Linked DNA regions of Notamacropus eugenii. The protein of the gene in region 1 purifies or fractionates together with the protein of each later gene. This does not show direct contact. Links are inferred from orthologs where the notes say so. Each region holds a gene or a part of one and is shown in the gene's direction. Other genes may lie near its edges. The genes, in order: CBX1, ZNF644 and EHMT1.

Region 1 (3,745 bases):
CAGGCGCGGAACCCTATTCCCGCTACAAATTCCAGCCTATTTTAATTCAAACCTACTACACATTACCACCTGGCACTCCTTTTGAATTCTACACCCACCAAACTGGACTTCTTTGTTCTTCATCAGGGACATTTTATCTTCGCCGGGTTCTCCCCCCCTTTTCCCAGGAATGAATTCCCTTTTCAACTCTGAGACTCAAAGAATTTCTAGTTTTATTCAAAGGAAACTGAAACTCAGTTGCAGCTCAACCCTCACCTCCTATTTGAGGCTATTCCCGATCCCATCCAGCGCTAGTACCTTGAGCCCTAAATATGGTTACTTAATTACCTTTTTCGTTACTTTGTATACATTTTTGACAACGAGGAAGCGGTGTTGGTAAGTGGGGAGCGAGTTGGTCTCAGTCAGTTTAAATTCTACTTCAGAACCCCGAGGTAAGTTGCTTAATCTCCCAACATTCCAGGCAAACCGTTTAGATTTATATCTTAATAAATATGCCTCTTACTTTACAATAGTATAATATGTCTTAATTTGTAATAAGTACTGTAATTATTTATTACAGTAATCTTAATATAGAAATTACAGAGAACTGCCAAGACGTTTGAATTCACAAGACTGGTTCAAAGGCATATGTGAATGTGTTTCTACGTCTAGATCGTCGCGAGCAAAGGGACAGTTGCACTTGTCTCTCGGTATCCCTAGCAACCTGCCCGGTCTCTAGACGCTTAATAAATGCTTGTTGCTAGATGAGTTGATTACACGTGCCACAATCCAATCAGACAGTACTAGTCCCTGGAGCCGCTACCCAGAGCTTGGAGCTTCGTTGGGTGACGTCACCACGTTCCTTCCCTCGCAGTACCCTGGGGCTTGTAGTCTGGGAGGGACTTCAAGTTCCACACTGCCCCGCGTTGGGTCGCGGCGCCTGCGCGTTGCGCGCGGCGGGCAGAGCTGAGTACGGGGCTCTTTTGTTCCGCGGAGCTGGGACGATTGGCTGGGCCCGGGGGAGCTTCGCTTAGCCTATCTTAGGTGAGGAGGGGCACCAGGCTCTAGCCGCGGCCGCCGCTCTTTCTGGCTTAGACAGCTCATCCTCCTTCTCGCTGTCCCCAGCCTCCTGCGACGCGCTAGCGGCGCGACACCGATTCCCCCCGGGTTGAGTCGACGCTGCTCTGAGGTAAGGAGGGAGGGGTGTGTGTGTTTGTGTGTCTGAGAGTGTGTATATGAGAGGATGTGTCTGGTGACACTGGGAAACCGAGGAGGGGGGCCCGGGGGGTGGGGAGGGCTCTCGGCCGATGGGAGTAGGGCCGTTAGGAACCCGGCGCGCGGGAGGCAACCCCCACCCCCTCCCCCACTACTCCCCCAGTCCTCGGTCCCTTCCCGCGCGCAGACCCCGGGAGGGGGCGGGGCTCGTGGAGCGCGCGCGGCGCAGGAATCCCGAGTCGGAAACGGCCGGTGTGGTGGGTTGGACCCCGCGCGTGCTGGGGGCGCTTCGCTGGTCCTAGTTTCTGGGGTCCTTGGTTAAGGGGCCCCCTGGCGAGAAGGAATGTGGCCCCGGGGCTGTGGGGGAGGAGGGGCGGAGCTTTAGCTACTTTAGCCGGTATTGTTATTACCCGCTACTCTGTAAAGGAAAGGGGGTGGGGCATAGGTGGCATTGAACGCCCTTCTTCTGCCCCGGTGGGGAGGAACTTGATTTTTTGTAGCTGATGCATGTTGATGCTTTTAAGAAAAAGACTTGAGGTTTGAATAACGTCCAGGAATTGAGGTCCCATCTCCAACTGTAGATTATCTCCAGCTGATGCAGTCTGTAGTGTGTACATGGTTTGCAGGTTGTCCACTACACGTGAACTCCAGGAGAGCTTTTCTTGTGCCTGGTAAGGGGAAGGCGCTTCATAATTGCTTGTTGACTCGACAGATAAGTGGTTGTGTATTCGTGTTGTCCCCCACTGTGAGCTCCTTGATGGTAGAGATTTACCCTTCCTCTTTCTTTTGTGTCCCCGGAGCGTATAGCGCAGTGCCTGGCTTCACTTAATAAATTCTTATGGACGAAGCGTTAAGGCAAAAAGTTTGAGAACCCGAAGTTCTCTTGCTTGATGTACTTCATGCTAGCAACTAGCAACGAAATTTTGAAATAAAATTCCACCCATGTTACATTAGAAGAATCATTTCCAAGGCAAATGCAATAGGAAAGTGAAATGAACTTTTCATTACGACGTTGCCCCTTTCCCCCATTCCAAGATATTTTCCACAGAAGATTGTAGCGGAGATCTTGTGCTCAAGTTTTTCGTCAGACTTCAGGGTGAGGAAGACTTGGAGTTGTTGAATCCCACCTTTAGATGTTAGCTGATTGATCCTGGGCAAGTCCCACAACCTTTTTTCAGTCTCAGTTTCCTGGTCTATACAGTTGTATTCGATGGCCTCTAAAGTCTCTTCCAGCCCTAAATCTGTGATCTTTGGGAAGTCCCTTCTGCTTTCCCTGGATCCCTGGATGGTGGCCTTGCTTTCCATCGATCTTTGGTGGGAAAGCCTAAGTATTGGTTTACCTGATAGTCCAAAACATGAATGGAGCCATACCCTGGGGCTTTGAGGCCTTGAATTGTATTCCTCTGTTCAGCCTTTTGTCTGACAAATTTGGGCCCTGAATGGCTGCTGGTGACGTTAAGGTTTTGTAACTACCTTCTTTGGAAAGAATTGCCCTGGTAGATAAAGTGTGTAGAAGAGGATGCCTTTTCTTTATGCCCTTTTTGTAAATTTAGGTGGTTCTTGGGAGCCAAACCTGGGAAATCTTTGAGAACCACTTTACACCTCTTTTAACCCTACCCTGAAGACTAAATTCTAGTTCTGTTAGGTTTGTATGCACATATTAGCAGGAGGCATCCTGTCTGTGCCTTTGCTGGGGCTGTTTCCTATGCCTGGAATGCAGTTTCTCCTCACCTGAGCCTCTTCGAATTCCTAGCTTCCTTCCAAGCTCAGCTCAGCATCACCTATTACAAGAGGCCTTTCCTACTTTTTTTGCCTTTGCTAACCTGTAGTATGTTCTGCCCTCCTATATCTTAAGTATATTTTGCATTTATTTATATGTGTATATGTTGTTTCTCCTGTGGGATGTAAGCTTCGTGACTGCAGGGGGCCTAACAAATGCATGTTGATGGATGAAGCTACCTAAGGGCAATGATTTCTGCCCTTTATTTTCACTGTTGCCTCCAAATGAAGAGTCATCTCTGCAGTTAGGTGAGTGTCTGAAAAGTCTGAAAGTGAGTAGAAGCATGTGATAGATACTGTGATCCTCCCTAGAAGCCTTCCAGACATTTATATGGAAGTTAAAGGAAGCCTCTGGTTTTGTTTTTTTCCTATAATGACATTTTTGTTCCCAATAGCTTATATATTCCGAATTGTTTTTCTTTAAAAGTGAGTAGAGGATATGGAGGATAGTGCTATAGCCTATGCCAGGTTCTTGATAAGAAAAGATGTGCCTACTCTTTTCTTCCTCTGTCTTTGTACCTGTGGTTAGATACCTGAATTTTTCTAACCCCTTCTGGACAAACGATATTGAAATATACCAGAAAGGAATTTTCTAAATGAGAGAACTTAAGTACACCTTTAAAAGAGGATTGCTATATAATGTCATTTTCAGAACAGTAGGTGCAGTTTCGTTCACTAGTTAAAAGCATTTGTTAACACTTACTACATTCTAGGCATTGTGCCAGGTGTTGGGGGTACAAAGAAAAACAAAAAAGTCCCTGACCTATCCTAC
Region 2 (3,745 bases), about 150 Mb from region 1:
TTTCCGGCTCTATCCACTGCACTACCTAGCTGCCTTATAATGGATGAATTAAATATTAAAAATTTGAAAAATGTGGTTTACAGCATATACTGATCAGTCAGGGCCTTCTTCCAGATTCTCCTCAGTTTGCTCAGTTTATCTATTCTCTACGTGCCTGGTTATTTCTGTGTTGTCTCTAAGCTCCCTGCTGGCAGGCATAGTCTGGCTTTTCTTGGCACTTCCGGCGGCGTCTAGGTCCCGCTTTTCTTGGCACTTCCGGTGGCGTCTAGGTCCCGCTTTTCTTGGCACTTCCGGTGGCGTCTAGGTCCCACTTTTCTTGGCACTTCTGGCGGGTCTAGCAGGTTTTCCTGGCCTAACCTCGGCGTGTGCGGCAGTGCCCTGGGGTGCAAAGAGCCGTCCATGAACGTGGCCTCCTGGGAGGGGAGGCTCATTAATGAACGCGGATGGAAGGAGGGTTTCCTTCAGAGATGCTCCCGACGCCGCGTCCTCACGTTCCTCATTGGTAGGCTCCGGAGCCGCTAGGTAACTCTAAGCTTTTTCTTTTTAGTGCCCCGTTTTGGCCGCGTCCCAGGGTGGCGGCGGGCCGATAAAGCTTGGGCTCCCTGCGGGGCTTGGCCTTTGGGCCTCGAGCCGGCTCGTGGTCGGCCGGTGCCACAGTGTTTGGGTGGCCCTCACCGGGGCGGCCGCCTAGCGGAGGGTGGCCGAGGCCGCCCAAGGCAGCCGGGTGTGGGATGGGGGAGGCCGAGGCGGGCAGCTCCTCCAGCACGAGGCGGCGGCGGAGGAGCTTGGGGTAGGCTGAGGGGACGGCCGGCCAGGCTGAGGCGGGAAAGCTGCGCGCCTGCGCACTGGCGTCCCGGGCCGGCGGCGAAGATCGCTTTGCTCGCGCAGGGAGGTCCCCCTCCCCAGCTGAGGCGGCGCGGTGCGTACAGGGCGGCGTGTGACGCGGGGACGCTGCGCGCTCGCAACGTCGCCTCGGTTTGACGCACACGGCACCAAACTGTGAGTTTGGGGGGGGGGGATTGGTCGGACACGCCGGCCCTCCAGCGGGTTTCGGGCCCTAGGGCTGAGGCGGCGGCGGGCCTGAGGGCGGCGGCAGGACTCGGGCGGGGCCGTCCCCCCGGAGCCGGGGCCCCGACCGCGGCGCCCCAGGCTGGGTCCCTTCCATCCCAAAGGACGCGTTTTGCCGCACAGGCTAAGATGGCGGCGGCGGCGGCCGAGGAGGCGGAGCTGGTGCGGCACAAGGAGCCCGGGGCCGGGGTTCGGGGCCGGGGTCGCGGCGGCGGCGGCAGCGGAGGAGGCGGAGGTCGCGGGCGCGGGCGCGGGCGCGGGGGGCGGCGGAGCCTGAGGTGAGCCGGGGGCCGCGGCGGCGGCGGGGCGGGGTCGGGCGGGGCGGGCCGCGGTAGCGCTGGGGGCTCGGCGGCGGCCGCTGCGAGCGAACGAGCGAACGGACCGACCTACACAAAGGGACCGGGCCGGGCCGGGCCGGACCGGGGAGGGGGGTGTTCTGTCACATGAAGCGGCGCAGCCAGTGAGCGGCGCGGAAGAGAGGGAAGGGGCCGAGGCCCGGCGGGCGCCATTGCCGAGCGCCGAGTAACGGGGCGGCGGCGGCCCCCGCCCGTGCCCGCTCCCCCTTGCCCTGCCGAGCCGGGGGGAGGGGGTCTCCTCGGGCCGGTGTCCGGCCTCTGGGCCCCGGAGCTCTGAGAGAGCCGGCGGGGCCCTTCGCCGCAGCCTCGGGTCGGCAGCCCCCGAGCGGAGCCGGAGCGCCGCGGGCTCTCGGGGCGCCGCCGGACGCGGATTCCCGTAACTTTGGTGGGAAAGTTTGCTCCGCGCCCCGGGGGAGGGTTTGGGAAACTTTTCCTGAAGGGGACGCCCCTTGGTGCGGGGTCCCTGAGATGGGGGGAGGCTTTCCGGGGAGGACGCGGGGACCGGCCCTCGGGACCCGAGAGATGGGTAGCGAGGAGGCGGCTCTTGCCCCGGAGTAGTTGGGGAGACCCCGGGTGAGGGACGGAGCTCTCCGAAGCCGGCCCGCGTTTTGTGTCGGAGACTGGACGGAAAGGTTGTGGATCACCGGGCGCAGTCCGCCCCTGTCCCCTAGTTGTCCGAAGAGCTTTAAGGGTAGAGGGTTCAGCGGCGGTCATCCCTCACGTCATTTACCCCCTAGTCAGCCTGCGGGCGGAGAAGCCCCTGAGAGACGTGTGTGGTTACTGCACTTGGCAGAGAAAACTTCTGGTGACGAAGGAAGAAACAGAACAGCCGCTTCCTTCAGAGGTCCTTCAGCGGAATGCGCTAAAATTGCCCCCGTCTGTCGTTCCAGTCTGAGAAGTTTAGCTGCTTAATTCATCTCCCCCCCACCCCCGCTAGAAATTTTGTCGGGACTGCTGAGTAGGAGACCCTTTGGCACTCCGTCACCCAGAAGGAGTCAAAGAATTAACGGCTTTGAGGACTAGCCGTGTAGTCTCATCTCCCGAATTTTAAAGATGAGAAAACTGATTACCAAAGTGTTTACTGGTGGCCAAGCTGGCAGAACTAGTTAGTGGGAGAGAACGTCTCCCAGAGGTGTCATTGCTTCCTCACCGCTGAAGTGCACCAGCATTAAAATGTAATTGGGAAATGTTTAACAGTAGAGATATGCAGTACCACTTGGGTAATGTTAATTTGTGGTTTTCAGGGATCAGTTCTGTTTTGAGCCTAACACCACTCGATTCTAGAGTATTTGTGTCTTTTTGTCTTGCTTATCAATGCTCTATTGATTCCATGCCTCTGTGATTTAAAAATGAAATTTCCACCTGTAGTAAAACTATTTCTAGGGAGACAATTACAGGAAATGATAGTTGGCATGTAATACTCTTATACTGATGAAAATGTGACCTTACAGAAACATGAAACCTTTCAAGTTTGATTTTGTAGGATCACTTTTAAGAAGCTTTCAAAGCAGAAGCAAATTCACATGCTATTTTACATATAATAGACACTTGTAGGATGTTTCACATGTAATCCTGACTTCTCAGAATGTTTGACTGAACTGTCATATGTAAAATCCTTTTTGTTGATTATAGAGGTAGAGGAGCCACAGTGTAGAGGCATTCACACCTGATTTAGTAGAAGACCTGGACTCAGGTCACTGACATTGCAGTTTATACTTCCAAGCTCTAGATGGAGGTGCCCATATCTTCAGTTATTAGTTGCTTATGCATAAAATTTCCATTAAAGTTTTATTCTGAAGCTTCGTTGTTGTGTGAAGAGGAACTTGGGTTCCCATAAGGATTTGTCTTACAACCACTGCTTTGCTCTTAGAGGCTTAAGGTTTGCAAAGCTCCAAATTCCACAGAAGTATCCTGGAGGAGTATATGTTACCTGAGGAACAGTCTAAGTTTAAAGTTGCTAGTCACCAGGTTAGCTCCAGTGTTCCCTGTTACCTCTAGAAGCAAAAGCCCTTCATAATCTCACTCCAATCTACCCATCAGTCCTTATTCTTCTGTCTTTTTCTTCGACCTGTACAGTATGGTCTAGCCCAGGGGTGAGGAAGGGTGAAGGTGGCTCAAGTTTAGCCCTTTGACTGAATCCAAACTTCACTGAACAAATCTCCTTAATAAAAGGATTTGTTCTCTGTCCGAAGGGCAAACCCACATGTGGCCTAGAGGTACAGCTTCTGCATCCCGGTAGCCAAACTGGCTTACCACATTCCACCTCTGTGCCTTTGCACTGGCTGTGACGTCCATACCTGTAACTCATTTCCTTCGTCAAG
Region 3 (3,745 bases), on another chromosome or scaffold:
CCGCGGCGTGGGCCGATTACCCGCTGGGGCGCGGGGAGGCAGCAGACTTCTCAGCGACTTCTCCAAGACTGGGGGAAGGAGGGAAGCACGAGGTGGTGTTGGTGGGGGAACAGCCCTGGGCTGGAGTCCAGGCGTGAGTCCACCCTTATTCCCGGGCTTCAAGGCCTCAGTTTTCCCATCAGTACAATGGGGATGACCATCTTTCCCTGACTAGCTAGCTGAGAGCATGCGCGTGGGGTGGTTTTGTGATCATGGACCTCCTCTTCCTGTAGCTTCGGCTAAGGCCTCTCCAGAAGGTTAGTTGCACGGCTTGGGGGCCGAGCAGAGCTAAGTATGTAGGCTCAGGATGCGTCACGACGCGCTCCATGCCTACCCTCTCGTTCTCTGCCGTGAAAATAGTTTCATGGGGGACTCGGTAAACAAGCATTTATTAACTTTTCACTCGCAAGCTTGGGCGCTCTCACTGCTCGGAGCTGGAAGAGAGCGTTGTAATCTCAACTCCAGTCCGAGCCTCCCAGGTTCCTTCTACCCCCTGTGACGTACTTGGTTCTGGCGTGCGGCGAAGTCACGTGGCACTCCAGCTGTGCGGAAGAACAAGTTTGGGGGCCGTCATAACAGCCGCGTCGACTGCGCATGCGCACTCGGCTTGCTGTCGTAGGTCGGCTCCCTTCATTTCCTCAGTCCTAGTGGGGACGAACGGTTGCGGAGAGGGGCGGGTCTCGGTGTGCGTGTGGCAGCGTGAGGGCGGGGCATATGGATCAGAGGCGGGGCGCCGTGGGGGCGGGGCCCGTGTGCGCGAGGCGGGACGGGGGCGGGGCCACAGTCGGGGCACCCGGGCCATGGCCGCCGCGGATTCTGAGGTGGGTGAGTGAGGGAGGGAGGGAGGGAGGAAAGGACGGGCGGAGGGACCACGGGCGGGCGGGGGCCGCGGGGCCGTTGGCGGCTAAGCGAGGCGGGGGCGGGGCGCGGCGCGGCCTCTTCTGGCTTAGGCCTGGCCCGGGGACCGCCGCCAACGGCCCTGCTGCTCCTCCCCCGGGCCTGGCCGGATCGGCCCGCGCCGGGCCGCTTTGTGTGTGTGTGTGTGTGTGCGTGCGAGTGTGCGTGCGTGTGTGTGTTCGCGCGTGCCCGCAGGGCTGGGATGGGGGGGGCGGGGAACGACGACGAGGACGGTCGCTGCTCCCGCGCCGCCACTCATCCGGTCGCTCGCCCGAGGAGTTAAGGGCCCGGCTGGGCGCGCGGGCGGGCACCCCTCCCCCGCTCGTCGCCAGGCCGGCCCTCGTTGCCCGCGAGGCAGGCTGGGGAAGATGCCCTGGCTTGGCTTCCCCCTCCCCCATACTTTTTCCTCTAGACCAAGGGTCTTCCCTCCCCTCCCATTCTTTTTTCTCCCCTTCCCAGCCTTCCCTCCCCCAATCCCATCCCATCCCATCCCATCCCATCCCATCCCATCCCATCCCATCCCATCTCATCTCATCTCATCTCTTTCCATCCCATCCTATCTAGGCCTGTTAAACACGAGCCCTGATGTACTACCAGAAAGGAAAGTTAAAAGTAAATCATAGGACAGAGGCTGACATCTGTGTGTCTGAAAGAGTTCTTGGGCTGCGGGATGTGGGAAGCAGTTTCAAGGTTTAGGCCTAGCATAGAAAGGATTGAGAGCCTTCAAGACAAAAGAGTAGAGGGGCAGGCAGTGGAGAGGAAGATGGGGTCTGTTGATGGGAACTGTTAGGCCCATTCCCGAATGTACTCAAGACAAGCTTGAAACTGAAGGAAAACTTAGGTGAGAGAATGGAGATTTACCTCTTTTTCCCTTGAGTTGTATTTCCTTGTGTTGTTCTTTCATTTATGTACTGGTACTTTGCAGATCACCTTTAATGAATAGGTGGGTATAAATCTAATAACACTTCATGGCTACAATACTTTTGCTTTTTGAGGACTAAGGAAAGCAAGATTGTACCATTCCTCAACTTTTACCTAGAGATTAAACTGATCACGATCTAGTCAGAAGACAAACTTGGCTTTCTCTTTTGCTTGTTGTCACAGATAGGGAAGTGATTTTTTTTTTGACAGGTAGAGCTAGCAAAATTAAGGTTTGTATTAAGGCCTTATCACTAGGGCATAGAATATTGATGGCTTGTTGAGTATACCTCCCCCCCTTTTAAAAATTATTAGTGTTCATTTTAGGGAGAAAGTTAGGATTTTAGGCAGCCTCACAAATCGCCTACCATCTATATTCAGGGATCTTTTTTGAAACTTGACCTTAAAGGTCAATTTGTTAGGTGTTGATAGCCTGGTGTATGGAATTAACTACGTAAGTCCCTCTGCAAGTGCTCACATAGTCTTATTTAAATGATTTTAATCTTTGTATGGGACCCGGTGAATCTCAGTTGCCTAAAGGGGCACTTAGAGAATGCTTCCCAGTTTAGGCTTCTGGAGGCATCATGTTATAGAAAGAGCCCTAGATTTGGAGTCAGAAGACCACAATTTGAATCCTGATTTCTTGAATCTTATAGCGTTTAGTCAGTCAACCTTTCTGTACCTCAATGTCATTATCTGTAAAATTGGCATAATACTTGCAGTATCTATCTTAGGGGAAGCATTTTGGGGACTATACTTAATATATTCTATAACATTATATAATTATGAATCCATTGACATTCCCATCTTTCCTCTGCAGCCATACTACCAAATAATTATCTTGTGCCATAGGTTACCAAATCCTACTATGTTGGCTTATTAGAAATAACAATACTTTTTTCTTTTTTGGTCTGGACTTGTGATTTCATCTCTGGGGAGCTATCTAGTGTGGAAACTGCCTGTACTAATGAAGATCAACAATGTTTTTGAAATTTATAGTTTGATAGAATTACCTGGTGGATGCTGAGGCTTACACATGGTCAGCTATCCAGTAGGTGTCAAAGGCTGGACTTTAGCCCAAGTCTTCCAGACTCCAAGGCCCACCCTTTTTATCTGTTAGGGTAATCAGATTGTTTCTCCAGAGTGAGTCTCCTCTGTCTCTTTTTGTTTGTCTCTCTAGCATGCATGTATGTATATGTGTATGTATGTATGCATGTATACATATGTATGTGTATATATGGTGATCAATTTAGTTCTCCAGTACATTCTTAATCATATCATATAATAATGGCTTATTAAATGCTTAGCATAGTAAGACTAGTACATTGCTTTGCACTTAGTAGATGCTTAATATTTTTGACTGTAGAATAAAGGAATGAGGTGTATCTAAAACAAAATTGAAAATTACCTTTGTTAGACATTGCAAGGTCAGTACTGTTGTACTGGCTTTTTGAAAAATGATTGTTTGTTTATTCTGTAAACTTTTCTTCTGTTTTAAGTTATAGGCTCTGTCAGAAGTTGATTTGACTGGCTTTGAGAACCTGGACAAATCACTTACCCTCTTAGTACCTCAGCCCCAGCTAACTCTTTAAGACTATAAATTGTAAAACAGTTTCTTCTTGGCTTTGATAGATGCAATTTCCTCAAAGGGAGTTCCCTACATTTATTAAGTGGCAGGTCTTAACCAAAAAACAAAACAAAAACAAAAAATAAAGAGATAGGAAGAGGAGAAACTCTGTTATTGTCAATATGTTACTTATTTGGGATAGAGTTCACAGAATATTGCTTCTAGAATCATAGATTCTTAGAGTGGGAGGGGGTCTTTTAGATAGTCATGTAGTTCAGTGTCTACTAGGATGTAGTAAGCCCATCAAGTGCCCTTCCACCACTG

The links.
Region 2: the proteins of CBX1 (region 1) and ZNF644 purify together in Homo sapiens (affinity purification with mass spectrometry; 3 studies listed by BioGRID and IntAct, with this or other methods). This does not show direct contact. The link is inferred for Notamacropus eugenii from reciprocal best matches to the Homo sapiens genes CBX1 and ZNF644.
Region 3: the proteins of CBX1 (region 1) and EHMT1 purify together in Homo sapiens (affinity purification with mass spectrometry; 3 studies listed by BioGRID and IntAct, with this or other methods). This does not show direct contact. The link is inferred for Notamacropus eugenii from reciprocal best matches to the Homo sapiens genes CBX1 and EHMT1.

What each region holds. Positions count from the first base shown.
Region 1 is NC_092873.1:353,057,155-353,060,899, forward strand, and holds the start of CBX1 (chromobox protein homolog 1), read left to right. Parts: upstream 1-880; 5' UTR 881-1,023; intron 1,024-1,104; 5' UTR 1,105-1,168; intron 1,169-1,541; exon of another isoform or gene 1,542-1,865; intron 1,866-3,103; exon of another isoform or gene 3,104-3,222; intron 3,223-3,745. UniProt on the Homo sapiens protein: Component of heterochromatin. Recognizes and binds histone H3 tails methylated at 'Lys-9', leading to epigenetic repression. Interaction with lamin B receptor (LBR) can contribute to the association of the heterochromatin with the inner nuclear membrane.
Region 2 is NC_092873.1:502,641,162-502,644,906, reverse strand, and holds the start of ZNF644 (zinc finger protein 644), read left to right. Parts: upstream 1-994; 5' UTR 995-1,197; coding exon 1,198-1,346; intron 1,347-3,745.
Region 3 is NC_092872.1:494,739,153-494,742,897, forward strand, and holds the start of EHMT1 (histone-lysine N-methyltransferase EHMT1), read left to right. Parts: upstream 1-802; 5' UTR 803-839; coding exon of another isoform or gene 840-860; exon of another isoform or gene 861-864; intron 865-1,209; exon of another isoform or gene 1,210-1,777; intron 1,778-1,794; exon of another isoform or gene 1,795-3,745. UniProt on the Homo sapiens protein: Histone methyltransferase that specifically mono- and dimethylates 'Lys-9' of histone H3 (H3K9me1 and H3K9me2, respectively) in euchromatin.